Linked DNA regions of Sus scrofa. The protein of the gene in region 1 purifies or fractionates together with the protein of each later gene. This does not show direct contact. Links are inferred from orthologs where the notes say so. Each region holds a gene or a part of one and is shown on either strand. Other genes may lie near its edges.

Region 1 (3,813 bases):
CCAAATTTAAACTTTTAAAAACTATTTGAAAATTGGCACCATGAAGCCATGAACCATTCCACCAGCTAACAGAGAAACACAGTGTAGGCTGAGACAGACTGGCTTACATAAAAGGACACCAGGAGTTCCCATTGTGCCTCAGTGGAAATGAATCTGACTAACATCCATGAGGATGCAGATTTGATCCCTGGCCCCGTTCAGTGGGTTAAGGGTCCGGTGTTGCTGTGAGCTGTAGTGTAGGCCGAATCAGATATGCACTTGACTTGAACAGGAATATATTCAAAGGCTCAGTTGTTTCTCTACTCTGATCACCTAGTGAAATGAATCATATTTCAAATCATAACAGGTGGAAAGTCAGTGAAATATTGTACTGTGAACTTTCTTGTTGTCTGTGAACTGAAATTCTTTGTGTCTGAATGTGCACAGTTTTACTTTGTCTAAGATTGTGTGTTAGAAAGTAATGCTGGAGTTCCCGTCGTGGCGCAGTGGTTAACGAATCCGACTAAGAACCATGAGGTTGCGGGTTCGATCCCTGCCCTTGCTCAGTGGGTTAACGATCCGGCGTTGCCGTGAGCTGTGGTGTAGGCTGCAGACGCGGCTCGGATCCCGTGTTGCTGTGGCTCTGGCGTAGGCTGGTGGCTACAGCTCCGATTGGACCCCTAGCCTGGGAACCTCCATATGCCGCGGGAGCGGCCCAAGAGATAGCAAAAAGACAAAAAAAAAAAAAAAAAAAAAAGAAAGTAATGCTTTACAAGGGGTGTAAAACATAATTTAATTGTAACATCTTAAACCATTCTTGCTACTTAATACTTAGCAGTCTGTGTTGCTTGTGCAGGATACCAGCATCCAGTGTATGGCGTCCAGTGGCATCCAGAGAAAGCGCCTTATGAGTGGGGGACACTAAAGGGCATTTCCCACGCACCTAACGCTGTGAAGGCTGCATTTTATTTAGCAGAGTTCTTTGTGTCTGAAGGTAATTTTATCACTCTGTTATCACAACAGTGTGGTTTTGAAGCAGATTGCCCTTGTTTGAACTTCCGGGTACTCTTTTTGCTCTATAAATGTTCTGTAGATTTAATTAAAAAAAATTAATTCACGTGAAAGCCCCAGTATTGGGGTATTAGTCATTCAGGTCAAACCAGGATGATTGTTTCAGTTAACAGGATTGTACACTTTAAGGTGGGCTGAATTCTTGAACAACAGCGTAAAGATTGGGTTTTTTCCTCCCTATCTTGAAATTTTTTTTTTTCTCTTCTGTTACTCTTTTTAGGAATAATATTTTTGTTTTTTCCCCCTTTTTTTCTTTTTTGGCCTCTCTGCGGCATGTGGAGTTCCCAGGCCAGGGATCAGATCTGAGCCACAAGCTCCACATAGGCCACAGCTGCAGCAGTGCCAGATCTTTAACCCACTGTGCTGGGCTGGGGATCGAACCTGTGTCCCAGCACTCCCAAAATGCCACTGATCCTGTTGCACCACAGTGGAAACTCTAGGAATAATGCTTTAATTATAACATTCTCTGAGAATTAGTTCTTACTTTTACAAGACAACTTATGTATATATAAGTTGAATATACATTCATCAGTCTGTGATTTTCAGGCTGTCTCTCTGTAGGTATTGGCACATTGGAGAAAGTTAATATGCTTTGCCTGCTTGTTCGTGATGAAAACACAGATGTATTCATGCCATGTTATGTTTGTGGGTAAACTGAGAATTTGGCTCTAGATGCTTAAGTTGTAGTCGAGTTGAGGCCTAGCTCCAGGCACAGCTCGCAGCGGATGGGATGTCACTGAGGCAGAGCGTGGCCGCATGAAGCCTCCGCAAGCACCTTGTCAGCGTCTTCCCTCCAAGCTGTCCCTAGGGTTTTATCAACCCTTCTGCCCACACCTGCGGTAAAGTTCTTCCTCCTGAGTTCACTGTGGTTTAGAATTGTGCTCAATTGAATGGATAATTTCATGACAAAACCCTCATATTAAAAAAAAGAAATTCTCCTGTGTGCAATTTTAGTCCCAAGAAACATTTTCATGGTGCGTGTGTAGTAGTAAACGAGGACAGCAGTGGACATAGCAAACTCTGCACTGTTATCTCGGGTCAAGGCTAAACAGTCTTCATCTCCCAGTATCTCTTTCTAAAATGCTGCAAAGGTCTGTTTTGACTTCGTTTTGACTTTAGGGCAAGGTCTGTGCCCTCCCCCGCCCATATCCAAACCTTCAGCCGCACTGACTTCTTTGTGCCTCTTTGTATTTCCAATTTCTGCCTTTTCTGTGCGAAGTGTCTCACTTCTCCCCCTGCCTCAGCTTTGCTAGTTTCTCCCTCCTCTTTTCTCCTAAAGCATCTCCTTGAGCTTAGTCTATAAAAACGTGGCAGCAGCCAATTCTGTGTGGTACTAGACTCGACTCCCTGAGCGTCAGGACCTTGCCTTGTGGATGTTTCCATCCCCAGGCCCTGCTCAGCCTTGCACACAGTAGGCGCTTAGTAGCTGTTTGAATGAAAGGGGCAGTGAGGAGTTCCCATTGTGGCTCAGCGGTAATGAACCTGACTAGTATCCCTGAGGATGCAAATTTGATCCCTGGCCGCGCTCAGTGGGTTACAGATTCGGCATTGACGTGAGCTGTGGTGTAGGTCACAGATGCAGTATGGATCCCTCATTGCTGTGGTTGTGGCACTGGCTGGCAGTTGTAGCTCTGATTCAACCCCTACCCTGGGAACATCCATGTGCCTCGGGTGTGGCCCTTAAAAAACAAAGAAACAACAACAAAAAAGACAGACAAATAAAAAAAAAAAAAAGAAAAAGAAGTGGGGGAGCAGTGAGTGTCACATGGGGTAGGGCAGGCACGACTGCTGTCAGGAGGTCACTCCTGCAGCCTGGGTGCTGCCTTATTTGGGGGAAAATTCTGTAAACCTTTTGTCCTTTTTTGCTGGTATTGTCCTACTTAATGCTGATTATAGGAAGAATTGTTATCAAGTAGCTTTCAAAAACTTTATACTGTCTTTTTAAAAATTAACACTTTCTTATTCTTGCAGCTCGGAAAAACAGCCATCATTTTGAATCTGATGTTGAAGAGAGCAAAGCACTAATTTATCAGTTCCGTCCGGTTTATACTGGAAATATTTCTTCGTTTCAGCAAAGTTATGTATTTGATTGAAAGCCTTCAATGTGTTAACAAGGAATTTTGATTAATTCCATGATTAAACTGTTATAATGTCTTGCTATTCATGGCAATAATAGAAAGCCACAGAGATTCCTTTTCTATGATGTTATTGGCTCCAATTTTTCGTTTAGTAAATTTGACTATTTATATAACATTTAATAATCAGTGAGACAGATAATCATAATGTATTTCATAGAAAAGATTTATCTGAAGATTAGAAAAAATAAATTTATTGAAAATAGATATTTTTTCTAACTAATTGATTCTGGAAATACATACTTCCTCCTGCCCATCTACCTGCCTCATCCTTGCTGAAGACTTTTTTATTAATTTTTTATGAGTTATAATTAACATACATCATGATCTGAGTTTTAGGTGTATAACATGGTGATTTGATGTTTTTATACTTTACAAAATGACCACCTTAACAGTACGTCCAGTTACTGTCACATGCGAAGCTGTTACAGTATTGTCGACCGTATTTTCTGTGTTTACCTTGCTACCCGTGACTCACTCACTTTTTAACTGGGAGTTTATCTCAATCCCCTTCTTACCTTTCTGCCCTCTGATGACTCCCTGTCTGTTCTGTATATTTATGACTGTTTATGTTGAGGTTTTTGTTTTTTTTGTTTTTTGTTTTTTTGTCTTTTTGCCATTTCTTGCC
Region 2 (4,404 bases), on another chromosome or scaffold:
AAAAAATAAAATTCTGAGTTTTAAGGCCAATAAGAAATTTGAAGTCTTAGATTGGAAAGGAACCATTTAAAAGGAATTTGATTCCAGTCACAGATAACCATTTTACGACTACTTTCTGTATCTGTATTGTCTGATATTACTACATGTCCATAAAAGCACTTAAAGGGGGGAAAGTACATAAAATTCAAAGTGGTCTTTATTGTAAATGCCCATCTACTTGAAAATAGATATATACTGCCTAGTTTCCTAGTTTACTGTTTTGAAGTTTGCTTTTCACTGACAGGAACATTAAAATCTATTTTTCCATAGCGGTTTTTTCCTATAAAGTAAGAAGGTTTAAGAGGTGGCTACTCAAACGCTGCTGAAGATTCTAAATCCTCTAAAAAGCATAATTCTCCAAATAATTTTCACAGCTCATAGCTAAGATTAATTTAAATGTACATCTGTTTTAGGCAACAAAATATTCAACCTGTACCTTCCTGCAATTCTACAGTAAGTCTACAGGTTATAACTATGTTCAGGCACTTTTATTATTTTCTAGGAGTTGTTATGAGCTGCCAGCTCTTCTTTGCACAGTTCAGTTCATTATTCCATTCAAAGTAGTTTCATGGGAGTTCCCGTCGTGGCGCAGTGGTTAATGAATCCGACTAGGAACCATGAGGTTGCGGGTTCGGTCCCTGGCCTTGCTCAGTGGGTTAACGATCCGGCGTTGCCGTGAGCTGTGGTGTAGGTTGCAGACGCGGCTCAGATCCCGCGTTGCCCCGCATTGCTGTGGCTCTGGCGTAGGCCAGTGGCTACAGCTCTGATTAGACCCCTAGCCTGGGAACCTCCATATGCCGAGGGAGTGGCCCAAAGAAATAGCAAAAAGACAAAAAACAAAACAAACAAAAAAAAAACAAAGTAGTTTCATGTTCACCATCTTACTTGTCCCTCCTAAAAAGCCCCCTAATGGTAAGGTAGGTAGTCAGAGGATTCCTCACTCCAATTTTAAAGACATAGAAACCAACTTAGCTCATAAGCTAGTTACCATGCTGGGCCTGGAATTCAAGTCTCTTGAGTCTGCATTTATGCTTACCAACTGTCGCTTCGTTCCCTTAAGCTATCTCTCAGGGCAAAGTGAACTCTGTAACTGAAAGGATGCAATAGCAGGATTGCCAAAACTGCAGCAACAACTTCTGTCAAAACGTTTACTCTTTGGAAGATAATGTGTTAGCTGAAACTGTTAAGGAGAGATAGTCAAGTAGGAAGGGATGCTGACACCCATTATCGGATAGGTCAGAAAATCTGCGGTGCAACACATTTACTCCAATACACAGCTCACTGTAGCCACCTCATGATCCAGTTTCCTGGCTTGTTTGCTTGTGCACACAGACTGGTGCACAGGAGGACTCCCACACAGTGCTTTACCTCTGCTCTAACTACAGCAAATATACAACTCAGCAGTGACCCTTCAACAGTACTGAAAAAAGAGTGAGGTACACAACAGTCTTGAAGATCAACGGGGTTCCCCTCTTAAAACAAAACAAAACAGAACGAAAACCTCCCCACACCATTCTACCCATTAAGAAATTAAGTAAAAGGTTCTATTTCTTAAATTAGAGGTAAAGAGACCTAACTGTGGTTCACCTTTCTCCTCCCAAGCTTTTAATTAATATCCAGCTCAGTTTAACTTCCCTCAATCAGCAGTCAAACCACTAGGTCCAGTTTCTTCCTCCTATTTCCATAAATGTGACTTCAGGTCCTGGAAAATAGGACTTAGCTAATTAGGATGTTAGTGTAGTGGATCAACAGCATTCACCATAATAATTTACTGCAGTCATTTATCAAGCAGTTAAAAATGTACATCTAACTTTCCTGCTCTTTCTTACACACGTCTTAATGGTAACAACAACTCTATCAGGTATTACATCCATTATCTGAAACGAAGTGAACTGCCCAGGTTCACATAGCAACAAATGGCTGATGAAGGACCTGAACAAGGGCCTTAGTCTTAACCACTACACACAAACTGCCTAGCTTTCAACTGTAATTCCAACGTGATCATAAAACTAATCGCATGACCTTGGGCCGATCATTTCTGAGCTCTGGGCCTCAGTTTCCTTCACTATAAAACGACCTGCCCACGGAGAGCTTTTGGGTGCTTTCCTGCTTTTAAAAGCCCACTGAATTTACGACGAGATTACTTACTCCCCCAATCTCCAAATAGATGTAAATGTTAGGACTTAAGTTTTTTAACCAGTGCGTGTTCTAGCACATTCTCCATACTCTTCAGGCTGCTACAGTCCAGTCTTCACTTTGCGGTTTTAATTTTCAAATTTTAGATCTGTAATGCTAATTCTAAATATCCTCTCTCTGTCCTATTATCACCTTTCCCCACTACTAAGAGTACCAACAAGGCCCGATCCTATTCCAGACCTTTACCCGGTTACTCTACCCCACCTCACAGCTTCCCAGGCAGTCAGCAATAGGTATAAGAAAGCCCTAGAAGCAGAACCATGAAGAGAAGTTAGCTTTCCCAGAGGTCAAGAAAGGCTCTAGGACACCTGCCACGCCTCCCAACCCCGGCGGCGCGGCCTGGGCCTGGCTCCGCAACTCAAGCGGCCCAGGTTCAGGCCTAACCCATCCCGTCTGGCGGGTCCACCAGGGCCTGAGCCATCGAAACTCAGCCGGACCCCTCAGCCCCGGCCACGCCCGGCTTCTCGAGACCTCCGCCGCCAGGCCGCGCACCCAGGCCCCCGAGGGTCCTCACAGGCCCGAAGACACGGGCAGGCCCCTGTCTCACCTCAAGCCTCAGGAGGACCGCCGGTGGTGCCCGCGCCTCCTCCCGCCCGCACACCTGGCCCCACGCTGCAGTGGAGACAGCGGCTGAGGGAGCCTGACCGTCACGTGCCGCAGAACCAAGAGGCCTCGACTCCTGCAGCCGCCGCGCGAGCGAGCCCCACCGCACGAAGCCCGGCCCTGCGTCCGCCCCTGTCTCCTCAGTAGCTACCACCAGCGCCAAGTCCCGCCCTCTCGCGCAAGATCCTGAATTCAATTGGTTATTGTGGCCATCGCTCTATGCACCTTCCCATACGCCCCCTAGGGCTATTCTTCGTGGAGTGTGGGGATTGGTTAGGAGTGAGGCAGGAAGTGGCTGTTGGTTGGGCAGTATGGAAGGAGGCGGTGTACGGCGGCATCGGGATCGGCGGGGGCGCGCGCGCGCGCGCGCGCGTCGTGGGGCGGGACTGGCCAGGCAGGCGTTCCCGCGCTGGTTGTTCTGGTGCCTTAGTGGGCGCGCTGCCCGGCACTGCATCCTAATTTCTATGGTTTCGACCGTTCAGGTGCCTGGACCCGGGCCTCGGGGTCTGGCATCTCATTCCCTTCGATGAGAGAGCAAATGGAAGCTGGCAGGATGGGTGGGAGGTCCATTGAGCCATCGGGAAGGACCTGGTTTCCAGTGCAGCGAGTGCGCAGATATGATGGAATCAGTCACGGCTCCCTTGGCCTGTCCTGGAGTCGCTGTACACCAGGCGCCACCGTTCCTGCAGAGTCATTGCTCTGGGCCCAGCAGTCTGAGGCCGCCTTATCACCCAACGTCAAAATATAGCCCAGAATACTATAATCCAGCGTTACTTCAACTTTCAATTTGTGATGTTTCCAAAAGCAAGATAAGACAAAAAGGGCACAATCACACTTAACAGCAGTGAGTGAGAAAAAGATGGTGCAATGGAAAATTTTCAAACACACCACAGATTTTGTAACTAACTTTTAGCACATCTTCAGTTTTCTGGGCCTGAGACAGAGCAGGACTGTAGATCCTACTAAGGATCTTGTTAGAGATTTTTTTTCCGTTAAAGCACAATGTTCTTAAAAGGAAGCTGAGGCCAAATCTCTGAAGAATGAATTTTGTGTTTGTTTTTTTCACAATTTGAAGTCACTTTATTTACTGACCCAGATTACAAAAATAATCACATAGACAACTCAGTTCATCCATTTAATAAGCCTGTTAGATCTATTTATCTGGGCCCTTCAGGAGAAGATAGTTTGAAGGGCCACAGGATGTTGTTTGCTTCTTTGAAGCATTTTCCAACAGTACGGATTTCATGAATAAGATCCTCCAGGAGTTACTATTGTGGCTTAGTGAATTAAGAACCTAACATAGTGTCTGTGAGGATGCGGATTCAATCCCTGGCCTTGCTCAGTGGGTTAAGGATCCATCCTAAGCTTAGGCGTAGGTCACAAATGTGGCTGCAATCCCATGGGTTTTTTTGTTGTTGTTGTTTTTGTTTTTTTCATTTTTCTTATTACTCAAATGAATTTATCACATCTGCAATCCCATGTTGCTGTGGCGGTGGTGTAGGCCAGCAGCTGCAGCTCTGATTCAACCCCTAGCCTGGGAACTTCCATATGCCACATATGTGGGCC

The links.
Region 2: the proteins of GGH (region 1) and CANX purify together in Homo sapiens (affinity purification with mass spectrometry; 3 studies listed by BioGRID and IntAct, with this or other methods). This does not show direct contact. The link is inferred for Sus scrofa from reciprocal best matches to the Homo sapiens genes GGH and CANX.

Annotation. Positions count from the first base shown.
Region 1 is NC_010446.5:71,017,106-71,020,918, forward strand, and holds the end of GGH (gamma-glutamyl hydrolase), read left to right. Parts: intron 1-835; coding exon 836-973; intron 974-3,021; coding exon 3,022-3,143; 3' UTR 3,144-3,408; downstream 3,409-3,813. UniProt on the Homo sapiens protein: Hydrolyzes the polyglutamate sidechains of pteroylpolyglutamates. Progressively removes gamma-glutamyl residues from pteroylpoly-gamma-glutamate to yield pteroyl-alpha-glutamate (folic acid) and free glutamate.
Region 2 is NC_010444.4:78,912,864-78,917,267, forward strand, and holds the start of CANX (calnexin), read right to left. Parts: upstream 2,962-4,404; 5' UTR 2,783-2,961; intron 1-2,782. UniProt on the Homo sapiens protein: Calcium-binding protein that interacts with newly synthesized monoglucosylated glycoproteins in the endoplasmic reticulum. It may act in assisting protein assembly and/or in the retention within the ER of unassembled protein subunits.